Regions from separate parts of the Mus musculus genome. Here all the other regions are reported to be linked to region 4. Evidence: microRNA targets listed by miRTarBase, many of them from high-throughput screens and not tested one by one. Region 4 holds a microRNA gene; each other region holds the end of a gene's coding sequence.

Region 1 (5,089 bases), not on the chromosome of region 4:
CTTCACAGTGGTCACTGCCACGCTTGCTGAGACGGGCCTCATGTCCCTGGGGACCGTGCTGCTCCTGGCCAGCCGCCTCCTCTTTGTTATTGTCAGCATCTACTACTATTACCAAGTCGGCCGGAAACCCAAAAAAGTGTAGCAGGCTGGGACCTGCCTGGGCCTGGACCTGGGCCCGAGCAGCTGGGGACTTCACTGTCCATGGGTCCTAGACAGGCCTGCAGGCAGGCAGGGTGCACACGCCTTCCTTCCCTCCCAGGCACTCCACGGAGTCATCTTGGGTCTCCTGGGATTCTAGGAGTGACAGACCAGGCTGTGGCCTCTGCACCCCACCCCTCACCCTTGTGCAGGGACAACTCCTTGCCCTGTGTTTCTTGGCCTCTAGACTCTAACAGGCAGAGTCTAGAGTAAGTTTTAGGGTCTGGGCTGAGTCAAGGTGAGTTCCTCTGCCAGGAAGCCCTTTCTAGGAGGTTGTGTCGGCCCCAGCAGGGGCTCTCAGCTTCTCCCCATCCAGAAACCCGATGTGTGAGTCCCTCATCACACACGCACACACACACACACACACACACACACACACACACACACACACACACACACGGTGTTTCTAGAGATCCAGTTGAGGACATCTAGCAAGGGGAGTGACTGCCTCCCTTGGGCCAAGTTCCCCAGCCTCAGCCTGCACATCTCTCTCTTTGGCCTGCTGGAGGGTACTCTGATTCTCTGGCTGGCCGCCTGCGTCCCAGAGCACCAGAGTCCCTTCCCGACAGGCTAGGGTTAGGCAATGTACCACAGGCCTGATAGTCCCTGGCTCCTAGCTGCCCATAGGCTCCTAGTGCATGAGGAATTCTGAGGAGAGGACAAGTGGGGACATTTCCTCGGCATGGCCTCCAAGGCCTGCATGGCTACACACCTGGCTCAGTGCCTCCTCCAGATCCCCTCCTGAGGCTGCCCCAAGGCCTACGGGTTAAAGCCAATAGCTGCTCACATGCAACAACGGAAGGAGATTCAAGAGTCTGCCATCCCTTAGCAGCCCCTAAGTGGGCCTCTAGAGCTGAAGACACACCCCTGGTGCCACCAGCCTGTGTGGCCCCTCCCCTTGGCCCTAGCTCCCAGCACCTCCCTACCCTTCAGCAGCAAGCACACTAAGAGATTTGGCCCGAGGCTTCTCCCTTCTGCAAGGGGGTGGTCCCCTATACCCGAGGAATCTTTCTCTAGGGCACCTGGGCTCACAGCCTCCCTGGGCTCGGTTGTTCCTGCTGCCAAGTGCTCTGTGACCATGGCCTTTGCCTAGTGGAGGGAACTCAGTGGAGGATGTGCCCAGCAGTGGCCGGGGCTGCTTCTGTAACCAAGGTCTGGCAGAGTAGCGATTCCCTGCGTGTTCAGGAAGGGCCCATTGTGTATACCTGCCTCTTGTCACTGGCTTGGTGCCAGTCCCTCAGTCCCACCTCTTTACTCGGACCATGGACCCTGCCACTGCCAGCTCTTAGTACAGTCCCAACTACCGTAGACCAGGTGACATTTGTTGACACCATTCTCAGAGGTGTTGAAGATTTATCATCTTGAATCCTCCACAAATACAGATACAGTCCCAAGGGAGGTAGTCGTAGAAATGGAAGACGCCAGCCCTGCGCAGCCTGCAGGGACATCCGCCAGGCTTCCCCTCAGCAGCAGGAGCCCAGGTCACCCTGGTTAAACTGCAGTGATACATTTAGGTGGGTGGGGTCAAGGCATATGTGGCCTCCGGGAGACACCTGCTTGGAAGGAGGCAGTGATGGAGATAGAGCCCCACTCTGAGTCTGGGCTCAGAGTGCCCTGACTGCTCTCCCCCACCCCATCCCCAGCTCCTCTTGTCATGCTTCTGCCTGGCCCCCAAGACTGCCTCTGTCATGGTCACTATTTATTCTTGGTCCCTTTTTCTTTTTGTAAGAAACAGTCACAAGAAAACAACAACAACAACAAAAAACAACCAATGAGAAACAATCTGCGTGGTGTCCTGTTTTATATTACAAAATTTCTCTTAATATAGAATATAAAAAGGGGAGACTTGGGAGATACAATGATAAATTAGCTCTGTTTCCTACTGCAAGGGACATTTACAAATTCCAAAATAGACTTTAGCATATGACGTGTGTGTGTGTGTGTGTGTGTGTGTGTGTGTGTGTGTGTGTGTGTGTGTATCAGAGTTCCTGGGGATGAAGGTGCTGGGTTCAGAACCCAGGTAGGCCAGGGGCTTGGGACAGGATAATGGGGAGCATGAGCCACAGGTCCAGTCTTAGCTCCTCGCCTGTCAGATACAGCTGTCCCTTAGGCCACTGCTCTGGGACAGGAAGTGGCTGTTCTGCTCACTACTGGCTGAGGCATCTTGGGGTGAAGGAAGAGCTCCCCTCCATTCCTCTGGGAGTACACAGAGCAGCTCACCAAGCCCCACCAGGATGACCTCAGACAGCCTTGCAATGGCTACCAGCAAGCTCAGAGGGTGAAGACTGTGTCTGTCTGGCCCCATGAGGATGCTGAGAAGCTGGGTTGAATCAGGGCTACTTGGGAGCGCTTCAGCGTAAGTGTGGAAAGTTCTGGTGAGGGACTCTGATCTGCCCTGGAATTGCCTAGGCTCCATATCTGGCTTCTCAGTCCCTCCCTGTCCCAGCCCTGCCCATCTCTGGAAGCCTGGGCTAGTTCTGGGTGGCAGCCGCTGTGGTTGGGCTAAGTCCTCAACCTAGCCATGAACTTCCAATCAATAGCCAAGCCATTTGCCTTCCTAGACAGTTGGAGTCCAGTACGTGCTGGGTTCTGAGTCAGCCTGGGTCCTCTTAGTCTGGGGGTGCAAGCCAGCAGAGGGGCCCCCTGATCTGGTGACTCAGCCTCTAGGGAGCTTACTATGGGGATGCCAATTAAGCTGTCATAAAGACAACTTCCGTATAGCATTCAGAGACACCCACTCCCCGGAAGGCCAGGCTGGGTGAGGACCACATAAAGAGGAGAGAAAATGGGAGAAGTAGCCCCCCTTGCACCCAGACAGCAGAATAGAACAGGCTATGGCTATGACTCCCAGGTGGCAGAAGGGCAAAGGAAGGCTGGAGTTCAGGTCAGGCTCTTCCATCTGAGAGAGGAGAGCAGACACCTAGCTGTTCCTTCCACCACTGTTCCCCTTTTGTGCCCTTGGCAGACATAATTAATCAAATTTGAGATCCTGACAGACAACACTAATGGATTCAACACGGTCCTGGCAGGGTCAGGCATCTTGCAACTAGTTGCTAACCTAGCCTGCAGTTCAAGTTTGTGTGTGTGTGTGTGTGTGTGTGGGGGGGTGTTGGTTGGTTGGTTGGTTGTGAACCTATTAGTCTGGGGTGTTTGTTTGTGTGTGTGTGTGTGTGTGTGTGTGTGTGTGTCTGTTGGTTGGTTGGTTGGTTGTGAACCTATTAGTCTGGGGTGTTTGTGTGTGTGTGTGTGTGTGTGTGTGTGTGTGTGTGTGTGTCTGTTGGTTGGTTGGTTGGTTGTGAACCTATTAGTCTGGGTAATCTGAGCCTAGAGAGACTAACAAAATAAATGTTCAGCAAAAGGTCAGAAGGTGTCACGGTAGGAGATGCTGTGGGGTTAAGTCTGCAGACAAGAGGCATGACCTTAACCTCTAGAAAGGAGAGAGAGTGAAGGGGTACACAGACGGAAAAATGGAAACCCCTTCTGTCTGCGGAGGTGATGGTGACATCAGAGCATCTGAAGGCAGGAGGCTGAGTTGGGAGGTAGTGAGATCCATCCGTATGTGGAGGGATGCAGGGGTGAATTCTTGGCAGGGACCTTGAAGAACACATTCAAGCCTCAGCTCTGGGTAGAAAGAGAGAAATGAACAATACTGGGGTGTCTTCCACCTGGGAGAACAGGGGTGGGGCATGGCCCACGGGGACAGGTGATGTATCACAGTTGGATCTCTGACAGAGGTACAAGCAGGGCAGAGTGGACACAGTACGGACTGTAGAGCTGGATGCAGGCAGTTCCTGGCCAGTTTACATCGGGGTGGAGTCCTGGCTGGAGCGACAGCAGCCTGGAGATGACCTTGTCATGCACATGCTGTGTGACTGGACGGAAATGAAAGGGCCACCTTCTGATCCAGTGTCCACACACAGCCACCCTCAGCCAGCGGGAGCAGGGACCGCTTCGCTCTCCAGCAGATGGTGCTGCAGAGTCTGTCCTTGTGTTGTGAAAAGCCGGCTCCTTGGGGCCTGAGGACCGGGCTCCTCCTCCAGGATGTGTTTCTACCTCCTGGTTGCTCTGATCCTGGAAATGCTAAGAGAGGTGATCCGGGCCAAGGGACACTCCAGTCTGACAGGGCCAAGGGGCTCTGAGGCTGATGAACCTTTGGTCTCAGGAACAGCTGGTCCCAGGCCAGCCCTAGGTCCTTGTAGAGCCCATGCCCCTTGCTTTAGAGCCTAGGTGAGGCCCCTTCATGTCTGTCTTTTTTGTTTGTTTGTTTGTTTATTTAAAAATTAGCTCTATGCTTCTGGCCGTTTGGGCTGGCCTTGCTTCCGCCCCTGGGGCCAGAGGACAGGGAAGAGAAGGGGCTGGCTTCTGGGCAGTGGTGGGCTGAGTGTCTTCAGGCCAAGGCCTACTGGATGCCCCGGAAGAGGCACATGGCAAAGACCATGAGGAAGAGCTGCAGAGAAAGGGAGAAGATGATCTGGAGTCAGACTGGGTGCACGTCGAGGGGCTGCCCAGCACACCTCCTGAGGGGAATCGTGATTGTGACACTACCCGGGGCAAGCATCTGCTCGCCACTTGGGTAAAAAACAGGCGTTGGAAAGCAAGTCATCTGTTTAAACAGCTCAAATCTGTCTTTTTTGGGTTGGCAGAGACTTTAAGCAAAGCACAACCCTTCTTGGGCACCTGAGTGTGTACCGAGAGCTTACCATGTAAAGTAGGTTTCCAATGCTGTTAGCAGCAGCCTTTCTAACCAGCAGGAAGTGAGGCATGGAGATGTCGGAGATGTCTTACAACCTGATTTAGGTCACACAGCTTCAGTGGGGGTAACCTAGCTTGAGCAGAGACACACTTCCCCCCTCCCTCCCCCCACCCAGCCCTTGCTTCTAAGCCCCTGCGC
Region 2 (5,089 bases), not on the chromosome of region 4:
ACCAATCCCCAGGTGGCACCTCTCAAATGAAGTAACAATACTTTATCTTTGCCTTATGTTATTTTCTAGGGAACTCAAGTTTAGAAATTCCACTAAAGAATAAAAACAACATACAAGTTTCTAACTAATTAGGAAAAATTTAGAACGTTTAAAAATACAATTCAGAAGATGCAATGGTTTAAACCAATACCACAATGTATAGTTTGACTCCCCAAAGAATCAGTGGTTACATGTACACTTGAATATAAGGGTACTAAGTATATTTAATATTAATATGTACTACATATTAATTTAATTTATATACTAAGTGTAAATGGACTAAGTGCTTTAATTAAAAGATAAAAATTGTCAGACTAAATGACAAGAATATGAAGGGTTTAGGACTAATTCAGGATAGAATGCTTATCTAGCATACAGGAGACTGTTTAAACTACAGCACTCAAGGAAAAGAAAGGAAAATGTGCACATTTGACATGAGTCCCTAATACATGACCCCTTCCCCAAGAAAGTACACACTTAGTGAAAGAACACCAAAATAATATATTATGAAGTTACAAGAAGGAAATAGGAAATTAAAGACCCAAGTTTGATTACCATTCTCTCTCTCTCTGTGTCTCTCTTTGTGTGTGTCTCTGTCTATGTCTCTATCTGTCTCTGTCTCTCTCTGTCTCTGTCTCTCTCTGTGCTAGGGATGGACACTAGGCCCTTACACACACTAAACATGTGCTCTTATGCTGAGAAACACACCCAGCTTCTACTTCTGTAATCTTTAAACAAGACTTCTCTCAATGATTATGAAAAAGTAAATTCCCTTTGAAGCATTGCGACAATATTCATCGTAACCTTATCAAGCATGGAAATGAAATCTAAAACTGGGACTATCCCCTCTGACAATGAGTTTAGGTCTTTGTTCTGATTTCACTTCTGTTGAGGTGATAAGATGTTCCAACAGAAAGCAAAACAAAGGGGGGAAGGGTTTGGCTAAAATTCCAGTCCTTAACAGCAAGGAGGTCACCAGTTGGGAAGCTTGAGCCAGCCAGTCACACCATACCCATGGTCAAAATCAGACAGAAATAAATGCACCCATGCTCCTGCTAGCTTGCTCATCAAGCTAATTCAGAACTCCATGCCAGAGAATGGGTCTTCCTGCATCAATTAGCAAGATAATTCTACATCTATACATGACTACAGGGCAAGCTGATCTAGATAACTCCCCAAATGAGGCTCTCTCCTGAGGTGATTCTGTATTTCAACAAGGTGACAATTGGGGGTGCCTAGTCTTGAAATGCTAAGTTTAGTTGATATACATAGGAGTCCTGCCCTTTCTGAATATAAATGGAGTAGATGTGAATTGGGGGTGGGTGGGGGGGGACTCGAGGAGAGAATTCGGGGGTGGGGCTGGGAGGAGAGAAGGGAGGAAAAACTTGGGTCAGAGATATAAAAGAGAATAAGAAAAAATTTTAAAAACTAGCTACCACAGTCTCTAATACATCCTGGTGACTTTTATTTCTTCTTCCTTTTTTTGTTTGTTTGTTTGGTTTTACTTTTTTGAGACATTTCTCTGTATAGGCCTGGCTGTCCTGGAACTTATACTCTGTAGACCAGGCTGTCCTTGAACTCACAGAGATCCACTTGCCTCTGCCTCCCAAGTGTTAGGATTAAAGGTGTGTGTCATCGCAGACTGGCTCTGGTAACTTTTCAAGAGGAGACATTCAAAGTCTTTCTTCTAAGCATGGTAGGAGTAGGAGATAAAGACTATTCTGACTGTGCTAGAAACATATCTTACAAGGAAAAAAGACAGCAGTTACCTGTAACAGGAGAAACTTTTACCAGCTACACTTCATACAAGGGGCAAATTTCTGGAATTTACAAAGAATTGCAGAAAATACTAAGGGAATAAAAACTGCCAGTCAACAAACTGGCAAATAAACAGAAAGGACAGTCTGAAATATAAAAACAAAAACAAAAAAAGTGGCCATTGAAACAAGGGCTCAGACCTTAGTAGGCCCTGAGACCTCAGCACAACTGACTCCATGATAGAAGTGCCATTCGGGTCATACCCTCAGCACTTAAGACAGCACCATCTGCCAAAACTGAAACAAAGGCCTCATCCATCAAACTCCATTTAGTCCTGGGAAAGTCTCAAAATACACTATTTCGTTTCTCCAGTTCTGCTTCTGGGTCTCGTTAACTGAAGTATGTCAATCCACAACATGGTTTTTGTGCTTAAAAGATCATCCTGAAAAAGGCTCAGTGCTACACTGGGATCCTGAGCACCCATTTGTGTACCCAGCCGGGTAATAAAAACTTAAACCCACGTCTGAGCAGTCTCCTCTGGTGAATATCCCACAGAGCCATAAATATTTTTTATTAAAAAGTGTTCAATATCCCTAGCCATCAGGCAAATGCTGAGATACCATCTAACCCCAGGAGGGCTACCATCAGTAAATCTAACAAATGCTGAAAATGATATAGACAGAAAGAAACCCATACTCACTGTTGGTAATGGTGCAAACTAATACAGACACTGTGGGATTGAGTTTGGATAGTCCTCAAAAAGTTACAAAAAGAAGCCTGACGTGGTGGTACACGCCTTTAATCTGAGCACTCAGTAGGTAGATCTCTCTGAGTTGAAGGCCAGCCTGGTCTATAAAGCTGAACAGGTTCCAAAAGAGCCAGAGAGACCCTGTCTTAAAAAAAATAAAAATAGGCCTACTGTATGATTCCATTATTTTACTCCTCACTATAGCCAGAGAACTCTGGACCTTACCAGAGAGACATTTCCCACGTTTACTATTGCTTTATTCGCTAGAGCAAAGAATTAGAATCAACTTTCCTGCCCATCAACATATGAATGGATAATGACAATGTGATACACAAATAAAAATGGACTACTATTCAGCTCTAAATGAAAATATGATTACGCCAGGCAATGATGGTGCACAATTTAACCCTAGCACTCAGGAGGCAGAAGCAGGCAGATCTCTAAGTTCAAGGCCAGCTTAGTCTATGTGAATTCCAGGACAGCAAACCCGCCACCCCTACTACCCCAACACAAACAGCCAAAAAAAAAAAAAAAAAAAAAAAAAAAAAAAGCAAAAGCAAAGTGATTGCAACATTTGCAGAAAAATAGATCAATCCAGAATGTATAATATTAAGTGAGGCCACATGACCGCAGAAAAAGGTGCATGCTCTTCATATGCAGAATACAGTCAATAATATATGTGTATAAACAAATGTATAAGTGGAGGCAGTACAACATACAGGAAAGAAGAAAGCCTAAGTCTTAGAGGATGCGGAAGGACTGCAAGTAGGAAATGAATTGAAAGCTAACTGTCTCTAGTTCCAACTGACAGGGATTTTTTTTTTTAAGTTTGAGTAGTGGATATGTGCATAAAAATGATTTCAAGAGTTAAATATAAATCCAGTGTGAGGCTCTATAGCTTCTGTTCCAACTAGCTATTCAAATTGTAAAGAAGTTCACTGACTTGTACAGTCTTTGGGTCTGTTTTGTTTTGTTTTGTTTTTAGAGGGGGTATTTATTTGCAATGCTCTTTTATAATAAAAAAAATTGTTTTTAATTTAAAAGCAATTTAAAAAAAGAACCACTGAGTCTAGACTCAGTGTATGTGAATCCTAAGAAAAACATCCAGTAGACTGGGCTCTGGTCACTTAACTCCGTGTGTGTGTGTGTGTGTGTGTGTGTGTGTGTGTGTGTGTGTTGTATTCTTTCGTGTGAATGCATGTTTGTTTGTTTTTTTAAAGAGCATTTTTTGGGATGATGTCAGTTAGCAAAATGAACAAAGATGTGCAGGTGAAAGCACTGACTAACCAAAAGTTAATAGAAATCTAAATTACTTGAGTGTGGCTGGAAGGATGAGATGAAGGTGCACTATACAGAGGTAATTAAAGGAAAAGGCCTGGAACACGGTCCTGTGGATGACTTGGTAGCTGAAATCACTCCAAAAGGCAGAGCCCTGGTACCTGACAGTGTAAAGGAGGAACTCCTACAGAGAACAGAATATCCCTTGTTCAACATACCAGGTAATGTAAGGGTGGACTAGAATGTGCTGTTCTGTGGATTTATTTCTGAAAGTAAAACTTGCTGTAATTAGAAATTGATTTCCCAAAATAAAGTCTTGTTTTTTGTATGATAGAATACAGTTTTCAGTTTTTAAAAAAAAAAAAAAAGCATATTTTGGAGCTGGACAAATGGCTCAGTGATTAAGAGTATTTGCTGCTCTTGCATAGGTCCTGGGTTCAGTTCCCAGCACCCATACTGGCAGTTTACAACTGCCTTTTAATTCCACTTCCAGGAAATCTGATGCCCTCTCTTGACCCCTGTGGGTAGCTATACTTAGGGTAAACAAACTCATGTAGACACTCACACATGCATGTAAATAAAAATCTAAAATGAAAAAAAACTGAGATTATGACATCAATTTAATCATTACAAGTAATATCTATATATGTGTGTGTGTGTGTGTGTGTATACACACACACACTAATGAGTTAGAATAAAAATGGCTCAAAATAACAGAAAACAAAGTTAATTAAATTTTAATGCATATTGGTGATAGAATCCAAATAAAAATACTCTATTTTCATAGTTAAAAGTTTCTTAAATCAGATCTTCTTTCAAAGTGCTTTCATGTTTTAATTAGAGAATCACTTTATTCAAAGAATCATTTTATTTACAGTTACAACTTTTGTTTTGTTTTTAAACCCACTCGATGTGTGTGTTCTTCATATTGGTATTAAATACCTGAAGGAGTTGGGATCTTATGAATACAGCCAGGACAACAATGGAGAGAGTCATGAACAAAGACATCACAGTCCACACAAAAAACATTTTGGCACACTGTGCAAACATAGACCTGCAATGGAAAGGAGAAAGGCAGATAAACAAAATTAGTTTCCAAAAGTTAAGAACTGCATAGCCAAAAGACAATTCAGTTGCCTTGCTCCCTATATTCTTCAATGTTTCCCTACCCTCCTACACACCTTATTAATCCCAATGTGTTAAATCTAACACAATTTCCTCAAACCTCACACATTTTTTCCCTCTTCAGCCAGCCCTGTGGAATAA
Region 3 (5,089 bases), not on the chromosome of region 4:
CTTTTAAGGATTTAAAAAAAAAAGGCAAATGAGACGGTCCCTGTTCTAACGTATTAGAGAAAGTAAAGCAGGACATAAGGCTGGCAGAGGTGTTTTACTGTCTGTCTGTCAGCAGTCAAACATACACTCCGAGACAGTTCTGGGAGGAGACAGCCTCTGGTCCTGCTGGTGTGGGGACTGTGGGTTGGGGTGCTGTTTCTAGCCTGAAATAATGTTAACTGAAACTGGGAACTTTTACAAGGTCAGGCCACTGCTGATTCACAGCTGGCCTTAGGGTCTCCAAAGGGCCTCTCTGTGGATAAACGAATGATCAGCATTAAAACCGGGGAGCAGGGCTGACAGAGGGAGACTTCCTAAAGATGTGTTGGAAACCCCTGCCTTAACAAGTCTCTTTGAACCAGGCACAAGAGTGCAGAGAAACCCCACCACCCTGCCCTGGCACCTTTTCTTAGCTCTCTTCCCTACCTCTCCATAGGAAATAGAAGCCAGCTCTGGCCCACTCCCTATGTGGAGACTAGAGTCTAAGGATGGACCAGTGCCCCCAGGACTTCCTGAGCGGATCCCGTTCTGGCTTCACCTTATCCTGTCTTTTGACCTTATATCACAGAGCATTAGACAGAAGGTAGGAAGCCTCTGTCTGGATCTCAGGAATTCCCTCAGCCCCTGGGGAAAACCCAGTGGCAGATGAGACAGTGATTTTCCCTAGTCTCTCTCGGGTGGATACTCGGACAGATGGAAATTCTCTTTATGATTCTGTATATTTAGAAGAGGGAGTCTCTGGTAATGTGCTTTCTAATACGAGTGATTTAAAGGGTGTTCAGTGTCTGAAGCCCTTTCAGCAGTGTAGACACTTCTCTTGGTCTTATTTTCCAAAACGGACTGAATTTTAGCAATGACAAGCCCAGAGGTGAGCATGTGTGCATGTGTTCCAGAGCACTCACATCAGAGAATAATGAGGTGGAGTCAGTGCTCTCCTTTCATATCCATGCAGGGTCCAAGGGTCAAAGTGAAGCTAGGTGAGGCACGCCTTTGACCCCATGTCTGTCTGGCCAGCCACAGATCTCATTCTTAGGAGTGAAGCCTTTCACATATTATGGCATCACAATACACTAGAGCACACAGTGGGTGCAGTATGAATAACTGCTGAATAGCTGATTCCTCTCTATTTCATTCATTCACTCAGTTTTCCCATGCAACCTATCACAAGATTATTTCTTTTTTTCTTCCAAGACAGAATTTCTCTGTGTATCCCTGTCTGTCTCGGAACTCCCTCTGTGGATCAGGCTAGCCTCAAACTCAGAGATCTGCCTGCCTCTGCCTTTGAGTGCTGGGGTTAAAGGTGTGTGCCACCACCACCTCGCTGTTATTTCTTGATAGCCACTACCCAGCAGGCGCATGTGGCTGTGCAACTTAGGCTTGACGCTTCTCTGTGGACTTTAGAGGTCTGTGCCCTTATGGGGGAAGGGCTTATTTTAATCATGTAGCAGTACTGGTTGTCATTACTGACAAGTCTATTATTTTCCAAGATGCCAGTAAGGCACATCCCTCCATGGCCTCTGCATCAGCTCCTGCTTCCTGACCTGCTTGAGTTCCAGTCCTGACTTCCTTGGTGATGAACAGCAATGTGGAAGTGTAAGCTGAATAAACCCTTTCCTCCCCAACTTGCTTCTTGGTCATGATGTTTGTGCAGGAATAGAAACCCTGACTAAGACACCCTTCATCGGAAAATGTAGCCAAGCCCTTGAAAGTTCTGCACCTGTGCACTATACACACTTCTGGCTTAGTGTTACCCTCTCTTCTGTTTCAGTTGTGCTCACCCCTTTTGTTTTGGAGCACATGCATTTTTTTTTTAAGATTTATTTACTTATTTATTATACGTAAGTACACTGTAGCTGTCTTCAGACACACCAGAAGAGGGCATCAGATCTCATTATGGGTGGTTGTGAGCCACCATGTGGTTGCTGGGATTTGAACTCCAGACCTTCGGAAGAGCAGTCGGGTGCTCTTACCCACTGAGCCATCTCACCAGCCCGAGCACATGCATTTTAATAGCTGCCTCCAATCTTTCTGAAATGATGCAGAGTATTGATAAATAAATAGAATTCAAAGATATTAAATTATCGGCTTCACACACACTGAAACCCACCAGAAGAGATTTCCTAAGATAAATATTTATAAAGGGACCCTTCTTTTAATGAAACCTCACAAATACAGTATTCAGATATGTTAGCTGATATTGTCATTTCTGTGGTTGATGGTATTTGAAAGTTGCCTTGTGAAACCTGGGACTCTTCCATAAGAGCTGAGAAACACAATGAACCTTGCTATGTACCTGAGAAAACTTTCCAAACAATGTTTAAAAAACCAAGATAGCTAAGAAGATGACCCCAACAATGTTAGAAAAATAAAGAGAGCAAAGACATCCAAAGCTACCAACGGAGACAAATGGCTTATGAAATGAGATCAATTCCTTGGCTCTGCACAGAATCAACACCAATAGCATTAACTAATATAACCCATGCTCACTCTCTTAGGCTACAGAAGATGCACACAGCTGCCACCAGACCATTGCTACTTTTATACCTAAACACCAGCAGTAAAAGGAAACTTTCTACTCACATGAAAATCTGTCACTTTGTATCCATATTTCTTCTAAACACACCTAAGGGAGAGAAGGTTACCCACGACTTCAGCTTAATAGATGCAATTTAACCAGGCAGATTTCTTGCTCCTAAACCAGTTTAAAACTTAGGTTTTAACATCATGAGATCAATTTGACAGTGAATTTTCCAGGGTGATTTGTCGCAGGCCAGACACTGGATCATGGTGGTTAAGTTTAAGAAAGAGGATACACAGTTTTGTCAGACTTTACATAAAAATGATACCATGAATATACTGGGTTCTATGTAATTAATATGAAGTGATCTAAAAACTGTAATTATTTGATTGCAATGGCATAGACTAGCTAGGGGCATGGTATGCAATTTATTATGCATTGTCTTAAAAAATAATTTCAACTGATATTTTTCTGGTATGCCTCTTGCATTGGTCATGGGGCTCCAAAACTGCACCTCCCTGTACTGTAAGCTCCAAGGGAGGAAGTTACAGGTCTCCTCATGCCTGCCACTTAGCCACTGGTGTATTTCAGCGAGTTAGCGCAACAGGAAGCGCACCTTTTCTCTGTAACTCTAGTGCATGCCAAGAAGACATCAGCTTCAGACTTTAAGAAAGGAGAATGTTTGTTGATTCTCAGGAGAATTTTTGGCAGATGATAAAGAGGGGGTTTGGTCTTTGCCCTACTTCCAGAAAATTCTCACAAAAATCTTAGTGTGAGGAAAATTGTCTTCATACACAAGTACACCCGCTGTTGAAGCCATGGGATCCATGGCTGCTGGGGGGATATAACTCACAGGCTTTTCCTGTCACAGATTCATCTGTCCTGTTTTGGGAAAATTCTTTTAAGCATTCCTCCGGTGGCCTACACTTAAATGTCACCAGGTAGCATTTCTCTGGGGCTCTGTGAAAGTACTTTGGGAAGGAACAGGAAAAAATACTCTAAAAGCGAGCTCTTCCGAAGCATGAGGTCCGTGTGGGAGTGTGATCTCTCTGAGCTCATTGACCTAAGTCCCTGGCCTTCTGCACCACCGTTTTCAACAGCAGCAGCCAGCCAAGTGGTTGCCTAGCTTGAAAAATTAAAAAAAAAAAAACCCTCTGCAGAGTTTATAATTTTAGAAATATGAAGTAAGATTTGTAATGTGATCTCAGTGGCAGAGTTACTTCTCCTCGAAAAGACTTTTTATCAGATTGTAAAACAAATAGCCTACTTATTCCAGGCATATCAGAGGCATGGCGTCACAGCCCACCTCTGCCCTTTCACCATCGTGGCAGGAGCTCAAGGTCTGGTATAAGGGAATGCATGACAGACAGTTCATGTCTGCCAATGCTTTTCTGACCTCTGTAAGAGATTGCTATCTAAGCTTTTACCTTTTTTTTTTTCCTCAAGCTCTGATGGTGGGTCTAACTATACTACTGTGTCTGCATGGGTGCTTTGTGGGGGATGCGTTCTCCGAGTCCTTTCTGGATCCTAAAATTATAGTCTGGAAACTGTAAGAACTTTGGTGAGTGAGGAACCGTGGGTCTGCTCCACGGTTAGTGGGAAGTTTAGTGAGAAGGTGAGGTGAGATGTAAGGACACAGTGTTGCTGACAGAGAAAGTCCTGAAACAGCCTGACCTACTGACCTGGGGGAGGAGCTCACAGCGCTGCTCTGGATGGGCTGACAGCTGCCTCACACTGCACTGCCGCCACCTTTGTGGCTCCTTCCCCCGGGGCTGTGTTCTCAGGTGGGATGGAGGAAGCTTCCTCCATCTCTGTAAGAAGCACAAAGATCCATCCTGCAAAGCAAACATTTGCTGCCATCGGCTGGGCATCTCACTAACAGAATTTCATGTAGTCTTTTGAGTTTGATTTTTGTTTGTTTGTTTGTTTAACAAGAGGGCTAGTTAAGGGCCCTGGGTAAAACCCTTCAACAGAATTCCCCTGAAGAGCAAAAGTAGCAAATGACAGGTTATGCCTGGGGATGGACCTTGGGGAAAGGCTGGGTTTGTGAAATGAGAGTTGGAAGAAGTTTCCACCTTCTAGCACATAGGCTGATGTACTAAGAAACCACCCTCTCTAGGCTCCTGCGCGGTTAGTCTTACTCCGGAGAGCAATCTAACTCGTCATTTGCAATCAGGGCCTCCGAGTTCTGTTTGTGTTTGCTTTTGCTTTTCGCTTTGCTACTCGTCCGGCTGTTTGCCTTCGCATCTGACATCTGTTGGTAATAGAAGCCTTTGTCCTCGGCGGGCCCACCCCAGTCCTCCTGGCTCTCGCCCTCGGTGGCGTAGGAGAACCCCTCCTCCACAGAAAAGGGATCATCCACATCGTAGCGCTGGTACGTGCTCTGATGCAGGGCTTGCTCTCGGGCGCTGATTTCCAAGGTGCTGTTCCAGATGCCATACCCAAAATAAATGAGCATACCTGTTGGGAGGGGGAAAGCACAATGAATAAGCAGCTATCTTGGGGCCCGGGGGCCACTGGGGAGATCACACC
Region 4 (5,089 bases):
GGAGAGTGGTGCACATTTGTAATCCTGGGGCTGAGGAGTGACAGACATGATCACTGGGCTTGCTGGCCAGCTGGTCTACCCAACTGAGGTGCTCCGGGTTCAGTGAGGGACCTTGTCTCAAAAATAGTGTGGACAGCAGATGAGGACACACACACACACACACTTACTTGCATGACCAAATATTATATCCCCAGAAAGCTGTTGCCAGAAACAAGAACTTACAAGTGGAGTTTTGGTGATGAACTTTCTCCATCTTTTATTGAGCCTTCTCAGTTCTTTAGAAATAGATGCGGCAACTTCTCTACTGCTGACTCCAATCAGGAAACTCCCCACCTCATTCAAAGATGTGTGTTTTGTGTTCCACTGCAAGAGGGTCTCAACGGGAACCTATGTCACAGATAAGCACCAGAAATGTTTGATGTGAGAATTGTATTGCTATTATCCAGAGGCTCTGCTAAGGCTTATTCTCAGCGAGACTGAGTGTGAAGGCCTTTGAAGAGAAACTGACTTCCCTCTTAGAGGACCTCCCAGCTTGTTTTCTGGGGTTGCTGCCTAGCAGGTGCTCGACACTGTCCTCCTGGCCCAGGACTCTTCAGAAATGCCTGGTCAACTTTTCTAAGTATCTGATAAACTAACAAAGGTTCTTAGATTCATCTGATTAATAGAGGCCATACCACTCTGGTAATGGTTTCAATAGAGGCAATATTGCCTTGATACTTGATATTTAATATCAAGGCCAAGAATTTCCTAAGTCATCTAGGGCAAATATGTAATACTGGCACAGTGTCTATGTGATAGATGCTACCAAGTCTCCTGTAAAATTCAAAGTCTCTTTTAAGATCTCTGGAAGCCCAGAGTATCTCAGCAGAGTCACATTCAAGACGGCAACTTTCCCCAGGTTTATGTACATTTTAATATCAGACCCTGAAAGACAGAAGAACTATTGAAAACCAATGGTATGAGCTTATAGGACCAACCCAGGTGACAGGGAGACGAGGGAACTTTCTAAGTCTAAGGTGCTCTCTGTGCACTCCTATACTCCCTGCATTTCTTCCATACCAAGAGCCTACTGTCCACAAAGTAATTCTGCTCCATTCAGAGTGAAAGGCTGTCTTGGTCCACTTTCAACTACAAAAGCGAGTGACAGAAACACATGCTATTTCCTAGCTGGCATACAAAAATAATAGTTGCACTGACATTCCTTCCACACATCTGATATTAAAATATACATAACTCAGAAAATGCCATCTTGAACATACAATCCCGAACCTCTGCCATGATGCCAGAGATCTTGTTAGAGCTTTTTAACTCTGGCGTGGTCTCAGCAGCATTTATCTCCTAGAACCCATGCTGCTACTAAGTTGTGGAACTAGAAACTAGATGACTTAAATTGGGACGTGTTAAATAATTCTTGGCCTAGAGACTAAGGAAAACCATCATGAAGGTGGTATTAGCCTCTATTGATCAAATGAATCTGGGACCCTCTGTAGGAGGGAAATTCAGAAAAGATGTAGGGGAAAAAGGTTTTAACTAAATGGAAAATTGTAATTCTTAAAAACAGTGATTTAGGTAGGCATGGTAGGACATGCCTGTAATCCTATCAGAAAGGAAGTCCCATGAAAACAGGAGAGTCTTGACTCTGAAGCCAGCCTAGATCATATAGCCAAGAACCTGTCTCCAGGTTCTTGATAGAGTGATCCAAAAAAAAAAAAAAGCTGTATTATTATGTAAACGTGTGTGTGTGTGTGTGTGTGTGTGTGTGTGTACAATTCAAAGGAAATACTCTCTGACAATTACATTAGGAAAAAACTAAGTTCTTCCCAAATTCTTGAAGAATTTTCTAGAAGATATGTTTACTCCTTTGTTGACACTCAACTTTTGGACTCAAAATGGGCTTCCAAACAAAAAGAAATAGAAAAGTTCATTCTAGCTGGACATGGTAATGCATGCCTTTAATCCCTAACTTGAATGGTGTATGTATGTAGTCAGTCTCCAAAAATAAAATGTAAAACTGGGATAGAACCATTGACTTCAAATACCTCTTTAATTTGTTCCTTCTTTGTCAAGTCAAAAGAAGCCTTTAGTAGGGCGAGATCTTCCTCGAAAGTTGCCCAAGACATCAGTGCTCTTTGCAGTGTGGCCTTCGTGTTATGGATGTATTGTCTGCACGAGTGAACATTCTTTTCCAGCATCATATACTCCTCTCTAATACTCTCACATTCTCTGGCTGCATCAGCAAAACAAACAAAAACAACAAGTCTTACAAAACGGTTTTTGTTTGTAACTGATACTAAGAAAATTATTTGCATTAACCAACAAGCATGTTGCCTAACAATATTAAAAGCAAAAGAAAGGAAAGCAGGGATGAAAACAGTTAATGTCCAAACCATCAAAGTAAAACAATACTCATCTTGAAATGATAGCTGACCCATTAAAAAGCAACTAGGATACTTTACCCGAGTTCTTATACATTTCTTCACATTTTTGAAAAGAAGCATCAAGTTGAATTAGGAACTTTTTTTCTCCAGTAAATTTCTGTGAAGGAGAGGCAAAAAAATGTTGACAGATTTTACTTTTGAAAATGTGCCAAGAAATCCAGATGTCAGTATGTGATGTCAGTAAAGGGCAAGGTTGCCAGCAATGTTTGAGTATTCAATACCACCACACTGCAGCAGCAGAAATGGAAGGAATGGTTCAGGAAGGGTGGCTAGGACTTAGGAGATGCAAGAGCACAATGACACAGGGCTATCACAGCAGATTCACCTTAACATAGCCATGTGACTTTACACTGCGTCCAGCTGATGGGAAAAAGCAAGTTTATCAGTCATAGCAGATCCAAGCCTTCCAGCTCGTCCGTCTTAGTAACATTGTGTAACTGTGTCAATAGCTTAGGCTTCCCAGGCCTTATTCACACTAATTAGTAAGTCTTCATTAGCTACATTAGGTTACTTTTTCAGAAGCTATCCCCACCTGCACAAAGAAGGCTGTGAAACTATCATTAACTAATTCAGCTGTGGAAAATCCTGGGGCTAACTCAGAGCCGACTCTAAACCGCCTGTTTATTATATTAGCGGTTCTCAACCTGTGGGTTGCATAAGACCATCAGAGAACAGATATTTACATTACAATTCATAACAGTAGCAAAATAACAGTTATGAAGTAGCAACAAATAGTTTTATGATTGGGGGTCACCAAACGTAAGGAACTGTATTAAAGTGTTACACCATTAGGAACGTTAAGAACCACTGATTATATTCTTATTTTGTGCTAGCTAACTACTATGATTACTGAACCAGTGAAATGTAAATCCAAAGCTGGGCATGATGGCACACTCCTGTAATCTAACACTTACAGGAGAATCGGGAGTTCAAGACCAACCTCATTACATATGACCCTATCTCAAAGTACAAATGAACAAACAAAAGCCCAGAAAAAAAAAACAAAACAAAACTTCAGAGAAGACAAAAAGTTATATGTAGTACTGTTCTCCATGTTTTATATATAAATAAAACCTAGCCCAGTTTAGAATGATGCCTCCAATTTGGAAGAGCATAATATTTAAATGATCAATTATAAACAGATATGTATGTCTTCATCATCCTCTTCCATTTCCTTGAAACTTATAATTTTGAGTTTTTCAAGTCTCCCCACCCTCCCTTCCCATAAAGAAGGCGCCCCATGGGGTTTCCATCTGAATTTCTGCATGGACACACCTATGCTTGTAAGGACACGCCTATGCTTTTGGTTTTTGTGACGGGTTTTTCTTTGAAGCATTTAAGCCATTTCCTACTCAAACTTGGGTGAAGGGCAGCCAAGAAGGCACCACAGTGCATAAGGCACTTGCCACCAAGCCTGGAGGACTGCATTCGGTCCCTGGGACCCACGTGACAGAAGGGAAGAATTGACTCCCACAGGATGTCCTCTGACCTCCACACGCATCCGTGGCAAGCACCAAAGTAACTGAAACTATATTTTTTTAAATTTCAAAATAAAACTTGAGGGGCGGGGGCTGGAGAGATGGCTCAGTGGGTAAGAGCACTGACTGCTCTTCTGAAGGTCCTGAGTTCAAATCTCAGCAACCACATGGCTCACAACCATCCGTAATGAGATCTGATGCGCTCTTCTGGTGCATCTGAAGACAGCTAGGGTATACTTAGATATTATAATAATAAAAAAAGAAAAGAAAAAAAACTTGAGGGGCTAAGACCAAAGTTTTCAAAGAAAAGAGAACCGTTGAATGGAAGCATAAATTGAAAAAAAGAACAAAAGTAAGCAAAACTTTGTAATGGGAAAAGACCACAACGGAGCCTTCTTTATGGCCCTAACCATCCTAACTCCATCTTGACCAAGGCAATCCTCATCTTCTTACTCGTTCTCTAGCAGCTATTTGACCACCACTGATGGTTTTCTCCAGGGAAACTGAAGCTAACGAGGCCTACCAACAAACACCCAAGCCCAGAAAGGGAGAATCCCTGAGCTAATCCAGACAGCAGGAGAGGGAAGCAGACGCCCAGCCCGCAGCCGCTCACATGCCAGTCTTCCAGCAGGACTTCCACAGACTCCTTGCTCTCATAAGTGCCGTTCCAGACATCCAACTTGGCCTTCGCTTCATCAAGCAAAGCCAGAACTGAGCACTTAGAGTCATGAAACTCCAGGAGTGGGATGAAGTTTTTACCCAAAACGTTGTTGATTCTGGAAAACAAACAGGTTTTAGAATTGACCAAGTGTCAGAAATCTGTTTGGCATTTAAAGAAATCCTGTGATTTAATTTTTCTATTCAAACACATGAAACTCAAATGTATCTTCAAGAGTGTCCCCAGCCCTGTGCTGTGTGTGTGTGTGTGTGTGTGTGTGTGTGTGTCTTTGTGTGTCTGTGTCTGTGTCCTTCCATCCTCTCTTCTCCTTTTAAAGTCATGTGAAACAAATGCTCTGGCAAGATATAAAGCAACATTTCTAAGGTAAAAATGTAACAGAACATTTTCTGAAGAAATTATTCTCTTATTGAGAAATCCTGTTAAGAACACCCTAGAAATTTAGTTTTTAAATCTTAGGGTTTAAAAACTTCTGTATAATCTGATGCAGCTACAAT
Region 5 (5,089 bases), not on the chromosome of region 4:
AGAGATGACTCAGTAATTAAGAGCGCTGACTCCTCTTCCTGAGTACCTGGGTTCAATTCCCAGGATCCACATGGCAGCTCACCACTGTCTGCTATTCTACCTCCAGGGTTCCAATACTTTCATGCAGGCAAAACTCCAGTACACATAAAATAAAATAAATTTAGAAAGGTCTATGGGTTCATGTATGTCTTGCCCTTGCCACTCACTATATTCTATGTCTATACTCTCCTCATTTTATAGGTAAGACACAAAGCTCAGCTATGTAACTTACCCCAATTAGTTTATACCTAGCAGTTGGTGCAGTTGGGGGTCTAAATAAAACTGTGAGTTTGTTTTTGTTTTTGTTTGTCTGTCTGTCTTTATTTTTGTTTGTTTTTCATGAAATGGGTTCTTGCTGTGTGACCCTGGCTGGCTGGGTACTCTGCCCATAGCCCAAGTTGACCTGGAACTTGAAGTAGACCTCCTGCCTCAACGTCCCTGAGTCCTGGAAATACATCACTACCATGTTGCGATAACCCATGCTTTTAACAACTAAATAAAATTCCATCTGGAATTTCATAATTATGAATAGTTAATGTTTGCTAGGAAGTTTGGGGTTTAATAACTTGATGTTGTAGTCCACTGATTTCAAATTCCAAACTCTTTCTGGTTTTGTTTTATGTAGAGAGCCTTGGGATTCTAAAAGACTATCCTCACTCTGCATTCACCTTGGAAAAGAAAGTTATTAAAACAGAGCCTGAAGACTCAAGATAGCTGAGATGCTCCTACTGTTCTCTGGAAATGGCACCAGATTCAAGGATAATGCTCCATCATAGATTAAGCCTTAATAACCAGTGTTGCCTCATTCAGCTCACAGACCATAGCCAAAGCATAAGAACCCACACAGTAGTCTGTGGACATCAGGACAAAACAACAACCACAGAAGAGGGAATCAAGAGAGCATTGCAATGTAACAGACACTGACCACTTACCTTCCTGTGTAAGCTGCTTGTGTGGAAAGGCTCAATATTGTAGGCATTCACTATTTAAGAATGTACAACATGTCTTTGTAATTTATAGAAACAAGTCTAGGTGTTGATACCTTGTGGTCTAATAGATGTGGATACCATTCATTTTACTTGAAATTTTGTTGTCTACTTTAAGTGTATTTGCCATAAATGTTACTCGTCAGCAATTAGAACTTTTGCAATCATAGAAAGAAAGTCTGGGCAATGTAGTTATTGGCAAGGTGACTGGAGAAAGATGGAAGATAAATACACAATTTACACCAAGGAGAAGACTGTGTGTTTAATACTTGATAACATTGATTTTGATTAATAGGAAATATGTAGCTGTCGCTAAATAATGTCACCTTCATTGGTTTAATCAATGCACAAATTAAAAATTGGAGTAACATTCCCAAAATGAGGTAGGCTATATTTATGGCAGCTGCTTAAGATGTAACAAAGGTTGGACAGAGGACATGAAATAAATGGGTTATTGTGTAAAAGCCTTGACTTAAAAACATTGATATTTCAGAATATGTTAAACAAATTAAGGCATAGTAAGATAGCCCTAAATGTGATAAAGATGATGGATGATGTGGGTGAATGGACATGGAATGTGTGTCTTGTTTTCAGTTCTGCTTTAGATCATGCTGTTATAGATATGAGTTCCTAATCTGTTATACTGAAATCTGTTGGCCAGATGTTAGGTGAGATGTGTGCACCACCACAGGCTCTAAGCAGTCACATAGATAGTCACTTTTCAATTTGATCTGTAGAAGAGTTCTACAGTAGAAACACCAGTAAACAGCTTTACTACAACTACAAGGCTTTTCCCTTCCTAGATGATTCTATTGGACCATAGCACCTTGCCCACTAAAAACTATCTTAGGGACCATGTGCCTCTGTTTCTACCGTGAGGTTGATTATTGTGGTCTCACTGTCCACTGTGTGTAGAGCTAGTGTGATACCATTTAAATAGAATGTTCAGTTTTTAATATTAGCCACAGCACTGGATATTATCCCTATACTTTCATGAACCGTTTCCTGTGTTCCTTAATCTATTTTGAGAAATTTTGTGGTCCTTTTTCTTTTAAAAAAAAAAAAAAACAAAAACGAAAAACAAAAAAACTATGTCTTACAGTTCAAGTTCGTAGATTTTAACATTGCAAGTTATAAAAGATGCAGTAGTCTTCCAGCTGATATATATCTGTCTCTCCTGGACCTAGAACCTGCATTTTTAAATCCAGAAGAAAGTCTCCTTAAGTAGCATACTTTTCTGACTTCCAAGCTTAGAGATAGAGAAGAAGCACACACACACACACACACACACACACACACACACACACACACACACACAAATTTTCAGTAGAATACAATTTTTATCTTGTGAACACTAATGTATTAAACTTGCTATACATTAAAGCAAATAATATATATTTTTATTTGAATGGTATATATAAATTAGATGTTATAACTAGTGGGGTGTTCTTCATTTCATTTAAGATACTTCCACTGAACAAGGTCAATTGGTTACCTCAGTATTACAGCCAATATAACCCAAGGGACCATTTCTCCCTAAGTCTGTGTTATTCTTTATTGTGTGAATTCTGCATTTTTGTGATTCCTAAAACTGTTGAAGAGATGAGTGAACTTGCTTCCCGTGGCAATAAAGGATTTCTCTGCCTCACAAATCCTTGCTTAGAGTGCTTTGCATAGCACATGATGTTCGTCTATACTGCCTCCCTTACCGCATGTCGGGACAGGATGCGCTTCTCTTTTTTCCTGTGACACTGAGAGTTGAACCCAGAGGCTCTACCACTGATAGGCCCAGCACTCATGTTACTTTTTTATTCTGAGACAGGCTTCCTAACTTGCCGCAGCTGGCCTTGAACTCACTCTGTAGACCACACAGGTGGTGGTCACCTGGGGAGACCTTTCCTAGCCTGGGCTTCATACATTTCACTTTTGAAAGGGCAGAGTACTTCTGACTCAGCACCATGTTGTTTGTGACATTGATGCTGCTCTGAATCTTCAAAAGAAAACCAACCAGGTTGTCAACCCAATGAGAGCAGGAGCCCTGGTAGATTCAAGAGATTACAACAGCAAATATTTGATGAAAGCCCTCTTCTGACCCAGCGCTGTGCAAGGGTTGGTTCTGGGGATCCAAGAACGTGTATTTGCTGTTATCTCTGGGCGTTCTCATGAATGACATTCTCCAGTGGCCTTCAAGTTAACAAAGGATGACTCAGTGTCCACTGTTATTGAAAACACACATTGATGACAACTGTTTCCATAGCAACCGTGCAAGACAAACATTCCCGACACCTAAGAGATCAGAAGCCGACACTGTGATAATGCTTTCAATTCTGAATGTGTGGTGGCTAAATCGTCCAGGTCACCCCTGGATTCTGCTTTGGCTGACTTACGGAAATGAAGAAAACAATCACTTGTTCTTGTGCAGAAAATATGAAATCATAATTTAAGTTCATAATTCTTTTAAATTAGTCTTATGTTCTACTTACACATATTTTTCTGTCTATTTTTTTTACCATAGCTTTAGAAAGAATGATAAATAATAGCTGGTTTTGTTATAAATTCATTAGAACTCCTTCCTTCTTTCATATTTTCATAGCTGCTAGGCCACACGATTCTTGAGCACTACAGTATTCTTTTGAATTCTGGTCTCTTGGCAGTGCCTGATTCTTTGGTCATAATTTCTAAGACTGTTCTTTTGACTGCTCCATTTATGTCCAGATCTCACTTGTAAGACATAAAAGGGCTCATTTCTGCCAGTTCACCCTCAACCAAAGGAAAAGTTTAATATTGTTGTAGTGATTTAATATGATGTCTAGAACAGAAGCATTTAAAAATAACTCACCAAGCACTAAACTCGATTTTTTAGCATTCACATGACATGCTACTTACCATTAGCTTTCTCTTTTTATTTTTAAAATATTTCATTGATTTTCTATTTTTAAAGTAGTTAATTGGGCCAGTGTGATGATGCCCACTTTTAATTAGTCCTTGAAGGTTGAGGTGGGGCAACTGTAGTTTGAGTTTGGCCTACACAGGAAGACTCAGTTGCAAAAGGAAAAGACATTAATTGGTAAATAAAAATGGTACATATTCAAGTGTATAACATGGGTTATCTACCTGTTTTGAAAATGTGTTCATTGTGTGTGCATGACATGTTTAACACATGCTGTGGCATACATGTGGGGCAGAGGGTAGCTTGGTGGAGCTGGCTCAGAATTGAAACAAGATACTAGGTTTGTGAGCACTGATTATTTAATTTCTGTACACCGTGCATCCTGATTGCCACAGGCAAATTAAGACACCTCAGTGGGAAAGTGGATTCTGGCTGTGCTTGACTGCCACTTACCATTCTTCAGTTTGCTTACCTTTGCTAAACTCTCAGTAGAGTGTTTTAAATTCTACACAGCATCACAAGACAAAGATGTGCACTGTTAGAAACTGGGAAAAACATAAATTCTACTTTATGTTCCAGAATTTTAATCCACTTTTTATGATTCTACAGTTGAACCCAGCACCTCATGCATTCAAGATCAACACTGCCACCAAGCTATGTTCTCAGCCCCTATTTTTTTTAAATCTTTATAATTGCTCTCTATTTAAGTTTTTCATTGTGCCTTCTCCAAAGTATCAACTTGATTTTTTACAACTCCAAAGAAATGTCATGTTGGATGCTGCCATCAAAATCTGATGCTTCAAAATGTAGGTTATACAGGTAACATTGGTACAAGATAGAAATGCAGCAACAAAAGCTAAAAAAAAAAAAAAAAGTCCCATGAGTCTCCTCTGTTAACCAAGGAGTGTCAAATTCCAAGTTTCCTGGTAGTCCAAACAATTTGCTAATCAACCCCATAAGCAGCGTTGCTGTGGTAAGAACCCATGACATTATAAATTAGACTGTACTTCATATTTACACATTGTGAAACCTTGTGAGTCATCTTTGTATTAAAAATTTACACCTCATAGATGTAGGTTTCAAGTGCCGTATTTAGCACCCACACATAATCCAAGCAAGGAATGCCCTTCTCTTCTAACTGCTGCAGACACTTCTCTTGGCAGGTCACTTGGGC
Region 6 (5,000 bases), not on the chromosome of region 4:
GGTAACTGGCTCTGCCTTCTCGTTTGGTGGGATGTTCTCTCCTAGTATGTTCATGGACCTTGTACCACACGTGTGAGGCCCTGATGCTTTAGGGACCCTCATTAACTGTTGTTTGCTTTGATCTCTGCCTTCTCTTGTCACTGTTGGCCCTTCTGTGACTCTCTTCCTCATGAGTATCAGATGGAGTTGCTGCTACTATATTCTCAGTATCGAGGTGTTTCATGTTCTCAGAGGCTTTCCCAGGGGCTTGTGCAGAGTATGTTCTTACAAAAAAGTTCATGTGGTTAGACCACAAAGGATTCCAAAATTCCTCATAGAGCAGTTGGCTCCTTCCACTGACATTCTGCTCTGGGGGTCAAGAGCCTCTCTCTGGATGGTAAGCCGTCCTCAGACTAATGTCTCCTTGTCCCTTCTGTCCTACAGGTGGTGGATTCCCAGTTGGTGTGCATGATGAACGAGAACAGCATTGACTACATATCTCGGTTTAATGACCTGGCCCAAGAATTGTCCATCACTGAGCCTGGCCGCCGGGAGGTTCTTTTTGATGGTGGAGGAGGTGGTAATCCTGTTGGTGACCTCTCTCAGTGACTATGCTTTGTGACACGGGCATCGTGGAATCCACAAAGGAGGTCTACGGAGCTGGTCCCATGAATCTGTCTGCACAGTAGAGAAAGTCAAGCCCAGAATCCTGAGAAGACAGTGAACAGGAGCACCTCTAACAGCATAACAATATCCACATGCAAAGGACAGCCTGTGCAACAAGTAGGGGTTGTACCATCCACAGAAGCCAGGACAGCTGACCCGAGAAGGGTAGACCTCAGAAATCCTTTTGGTATCAGAGCCCTTGAAGTCCTGTAGCCTGTGTGGCGTCCTGACTGTATGTCTGTCTGTGTGTTGAGCCTTCCAGGGGGTCTCCTCCTTGCAAGAGGAGTTCATTTGCCTGGTGTTCATTTTGTCTTTGGAGCTGTTATCCATGCGAAGGGAGGCCATAGCCACTGCTGCTTTCTTTCTGATATCTTTTTTCCACTTGGCTGTTCTGTCTGCAGTGATGTTGCAAGGGACTGTGAGTATAGTCCAGTCTATTGCCTGGTGGTATCTTCAACCTAAGATACTTCCTGGTTGCCTTGACCATGAAGCAGAGAAGGGTCCCAGAGCCATGTAGATAATGGTATCTTCCCAAGACTACTTAGCCCTCAACTAGTGCTTCCTACCCAAACCATCCAGAGGTGTGGTTCTGCCTGGCATGAGGAAGGGGGAAGAAATTTTGTTTCTTGGAGCTTGTATGGATGTTTTGTATGGTCTTTCAAAGCTGGTTGGGAATGGCTTTCTTGCGGTTTAAGAATTGAGAGATATGGACAAGGAATAGTAAGAGTCCTTTATTTAGGTGGCTCTGCTTTCTACCTATGCTTAATGCCTAGTTCCTTCTCTCTCTCTCTCTCTCTCTCTCTCTCTTTCTTTCTTTCTTTCTTTTTTTTTTTTGGTTTTTTGAGGCAGGGTTTCTCTGTGTAGTCCTGGCTGTCCTGGAACTCACTTTGTAGACCAGGCTGGCCTTGAACTCAGAAACCCGCCTGCCTGTGCCTCCCAAGTGCTGGGATTAATGTTGTGCGCCACCACTGCCCAGCCTAGTTCCTTCTAAGTGATCTGAGATACCATTTCTCTCTAATGGCCTGACCCTACCCCAACCCCCAAATGCACTGCAATGTCTACAGATTTTATCCACACTTAAAATTTCATGTGTTATTGCTGGTATCTGAGGGGTGTCTTTGCCCCAGGCTATCTCTCTTCCTATTCTGGGACCCAAGCCAGGTTTAGATGTCAGGGTGTAGGAAGAGCTCACAGCTTGATGATGTTTTAGCAGCCCTCTTCAGGAGCCCAGAGGTGGTCAGTCAGTTGTCATGCTCAGGCCATCGGACTCAGAGTGGTGCCAAAAATACTTCCATTCCCCTTCTTTGCCCTTTAGTAGATTCTTGTAACATGGTCACTCTTGCTGGACCTAGCATATCAGGTAGCCATGGCTATTTCTTGTTGAACAGGTGACCCCTGTGCTAGCCACGTCACTGCTCACTCTCCACATGCTAGCCAGGGCTGACACCCCTCCCACCCCACCCCACCCCACTCCACCCCCTTTCCTTTTTCTTCTGAGACAGGGTTTCTCTGTATAACCCTGCTATCCTATAACTTGATTTATAGACTGAGTTGGCTGGAGATCTACCTGCCTCTACCTCCTGAGTGCTGGGCTGAAAGTAATGTGCTACCACACCAAGCTTGGCAGGTCCTTGTAACTCCTAAAGCTGCCACCTCTGTTTTCCAGCTGTTCTAGCCTCCTTCCTTGCACAGTAGTACTTAAGATCATCCTAGGCCCTTACGTCTCTCTGTCTGCAATGAAGAAAGGGATGGGAATGTCCTTTTGGGACACTTGATCCAGTTGCCTCTCTGGCTACTACAAACCCTAGAGTGCAGGCTCTGCTCCAAAGACCGTATAGGGCTCTGGTACTGGTGAAGGATCTGTCCCAGATGCTGACATGCAGACCCCACATCTGGTAAGAGTCAGACTGTTAGATGAGAAGCGCAAGCATATGGTGCCGTCAAGAGACTGTGGTAAGGTAGCCAATGTGTCTCTACCCAGTTGTGTGCTTTCAGCAATGCCTTACTTAGCTGAAGGCATTTAGATCTTGGGACTGTAGCCTGTACCAGGCTAGGCTCAGGCCACTGCTAGCTGCTCTTCCTGTGTTTCAGGTAGACTCTCCCACAACATTAATAAGCATGGGTGCTTGTAGAATCCTGGTAACTGCGCATGTAGAACTAGGTAGTTGGGCTCTTAAGCTGGTTTCCATGAGGCAGTGAATGCTGTAGGCACATGTTAGTCTGTGCCGGCTAAAAGGAGTTGAGACGTCTTGAGGAGCAGAGACTACAGCCCTTGTCTCCCAGTAGCAAGCGGCATCAGATGGACTGGTGCGTTACTGTAAGGAAGCTGACAAGATTCCAGAAGGTTCTTCACCAGCCATACTGGTTTGCTCATCATCGCCACATTAAAGGACAAATGGTGGCATTTGTAGCAGAGAATCAGTGGATACAACGTCTCCCAGCGTAAGCAAATATCCATGCATAAAACCTGAAAACTGCTAAAGGTTAGAGTTTTTTAAAAAACAAAACAAAAACAGCAAGGCAGGCTCCTGGGTTCTACATCTTCCTTCTCTTCCTTCCATCAGTTTGGATGGTTGGCGTTCACTCGGGCTTCCTCTCCTCATTGGAACTTAGTGTGACTTACATGCGGTCATTCTTTGAGAAAATCTTTTGTTAATATTAATGTTTCTTAGACATGTTGATTCATCTTTTTAAAAGATGGGGAACCTGTATCTTTGGTGCTTGGCATGGATTGTGTCCTAGAGAAGATGCTCAGGCGAGCTGAAGTCCATAGATCCTGTCGGGCATAGTACTTGCTCAGGGAGTGGGACTTTGGGACATTTCATCTGTTGGTCAACCTTTTTTCCTACCCTCCTCTTCTTTTTCATTCCTTGTGATAGCCTCTGCTAGGGGAGGTGTCATTCAGTTCAATAGCATTTTTAACCAAACCATATTATTAGAAATGGTCAAAATAAGTTTAGAAGGAAATTGTTTTATGTACTTTAAAAACAAATCTCCCAGATGCATTCATGAGGAAATACCGTACTTTGTCTTAATTTAAAAAAAAAAAAAAAACACTTTAAAAAAGGAAAGAAACCCACAGTATACCTTTCCCAGAGGCTAGCCTGGTGTGGTCAGTCCAGTTTTGGAAGCACTGCCCCAGCCAGACCCTTATTCTTTCGTAAGATCACTGGCTGGAGGGGTGCCCCCAGCAGGCAGAGCTCAGTGCTGTTTGCTTTGATAATCGTTAAGCCATATCATCTGAGGTTTCCGGCTTGAGATGTGAATTTGTTTTATAGACTATAAATATACAGTGTATGTATAAAGCAGAATGCCTGTCCTTCTGATTATTTTTTGTACCATATTGTAAATTACATTATTTATTCTTTACCAATTTTTTGGGAATAAAAGGTGTTTTGGTTATTTAATAAACAAGAACTGTTAAAACTTCGGCTAAAATTTCCAGTTCGGCTTGTAAATGTTTTTATTGTGCATAAATACATACTAATACTTCATCTAATGTCTGTCTTTTGTGCCTGCTTTCAAAGCCAGTATGCTTAGGGTATTCCAACAGGCACAGTGTAATGAGATGAGCTCTAAGGCCTGGAGGTGCCCTGGAGGTGAGGGTGAGCAAACAGGTAGGCATCAGAGATTCAGCGATTGAGTGACCGCTGAATGCGGAATTCATTACAGAATTCGCTGCTTCTGTTATGGGTATGTTGTGCGCTTCCATGAACCTTTCCTCCCGAAGGTGCTGTAACCCCAAAGAAGCCTTCCGCTACCACCGGCCAGAAACTTCCTAGTGCCATCCAGCCCGGGATAGGTCGGCCAGAAAATGCGGATTCGCATGCGGAGGCGTGTTGGCTGGGGGTGGGGCGAGCTGTGAACCAATGCCCACGCCTGAGGCCATGAGAGGCGCCCCCTGCAGCCAATCGGCTGTAAGCGCGATGCGGGCCTCCAAGCCTCCCTCTCCTTGGGGGCGGGAGGGAGGAGTGGGGCACGACTCTACGATAGGCTGCAGAGACATGATTGGCGCGAGAGGCGTCCAACTGGCTTGGGCGGGTCAGGGTACCTGCGCGGGACCAAGCGGGAACCGCCGCGCGGCGGCTGTGAAAGCGCGGGGCGGCGGCCGACATGTTCCAGGGCGCGGACAGCCAAGCTGGCAAGTCGGGTTCCAGGTGCGCGGACCGGTGCTGGGGCCCGGGTGGGCGCATAGCCGCAGCCACGTGGCGGGCGGGAGACCCTACAAGTGCGGTGGGTGTGGCGCGGGGCTCCCCTGAGGATACTGTGCGCGCTCTCCCGCAGGGCCTTGCAGGAAGGCTGTGGGGTTAGAGCGGAGTGGAGACCGGGCGGCGGGATTAAGACACGTGGCTCTC

What was found. The annotated mature microRNA mmu-miR-5101 reads UUUGUUUGUUUUGCUGAUGCAG and lies in region 4 at 2,228-2,249, opposite strand. An mRNA with a match to its seed (bases 2 to 7 or 8) in the 3' UTR can be bound and repressed. Matches are read on the target gene's strand: a 7mer-m8 pairs with bases 2 to 8, a 7mer-A1 pairs with bases 2 to 7 and ends in A, and an 8mer does both.
Region 1: miRTarBase lists Tspan18 as a target of mmu-miR-5101. Seed matches in the 3' UTR shown: 7mer-A1 at 4,463-4,469, 8mer at 4,459-4,466, 8mer at 4,455-4,462, 8mer at 4,451-4,458 and 8mer at 3,348-3,355.
Region 2: miRTarBase lists Gtf2h2 as a target of mmu-miR-5101. Seed matches in the 3' UTR shown: 7mer-A1 at 4,714-4,720 and 7mer-A1 at 4,709-4,715.
Region 3: miRTarBase lists Slc7a14 as a target of mmu-miR-5101. Seed matches in the 3' UTR shown: 7mer-A1 at 4,480-4,486, 8mer at 4,476-4,483, 8mer at 4,472-4,479, 8mer at 4,468-4,475 and 7mer-A1 at 1,822-1,828.
Region 5: miRTarBase lists Nab1 as a target of mmu-miR-5101. Seed matches in the 3' UTR shown: 7mer-A1 at 1,527-1,533, 7mer-A1 at 2,091-2,097 and 7mer-A1 at 2,104-2,110.
Region 6: miRTarBase lists Cramp1l as a target of mmu-miR-5101. Seed matches in the 3' UTR shown: 7mer-A1 at 3,145-3,151, 7mer-A1 at 3,150-3,156 and 7mer-A1 at 3,631-3,637.

Annotation. Positions count from the first base shown.
Region 1 is chr2:93,199,778-93,204,866 of GRCm38, forward strand. Tspan18 (tetraspanin 18) reads right to left here. Exons shown (of 10, transcript NM_183180.2): 10 at 1,983-4,645. The coding sequence ends at 4,598. It overlaps Trp53i11 (transformation related protein 53 inducible protein 11), which reads left to right. Exons shown (of 8, transcript NM_001025246.2): 8 at 9-1,980. The coding sequence ends at 142. Among named protein-coding and RNA genes, the nearest start is that of Trp53i11, 15 kb to the left of the region's middle.
Region 2 is chr13:100,464,150-100,469,238 of GRCm38, forward strand. Gtf2h2 (general transcription factor II H, polypeptide 2) reads right to left here. Exons shown (of 16, transcript NM_022011.4): 16 at 4,428-4,877. The coding sequence ends at 4,758. Among named protein-coding and RNA genes, the nearest start is that of Naip1, 14 kb to the left of the region's middle.
Region 3 is chr3:31,204,382-31,209,470 of GRCm38, forward strand. It overlaps Slc7a14 (solute carrier family 7 (cationic amino acid transporter, y+ system), member 14), which reads right to left. Exons shown (of 8, transcript NM_172861.3): 8 at 1-5,017. The coding sequence ends at 4,695. Among named protein-coding and RNA genes, the nearest start is that of Gm33834, 26 kb to the right of the region's middle.
Region 4 is chr12:75,906,314-75,911,402 of GRCm38, reverse strand. Mir5101 (microRNA 5101) reads right to left here and starts at 2,300; the gene lies at 2,218-2,300. Syne2 (spectrin repeat containing, nuclear envelope 2) reads right to left here. Exons shown (of 116, transcript NM_001005510.2): 14 at 4,530-4,692; 15 at 2,457-2,535; 16 at 2,040-2,227; 17 at 223-387.
Region 5 is chr1:52,454,882-52,459,970 of GRCm38, reverse strand. It overlaps Nab1 (Ngfi-A binding protein 1), which reads left to right. Exons shown (of 8, transcript NM_008667.3): 8 at 665-4,122. The coding sequence ends at 753. Among named protein-coding and RNA genes, the nearest start is that of Gm23460, 13 kb to the right of the region's middle.
Region 6 is chr17:24,960,370-24,965,369 of GRCm38, reverse strand. Cramp1l (cramped chromatin regulator homolog 1) reads left to right here. Exons shown (of 21, transcript NM_020608.3): 21 at 424-4,144. The coding sequence ends at 588. It overlaps Jpt2 (Jupiter microtubule associated homolog 2), which reads left to right and starts at 4,747. Exons shown (of 5, transcript NM_198937.2): 1 at 4,747-4,802. The coding sequence starts at 4,759.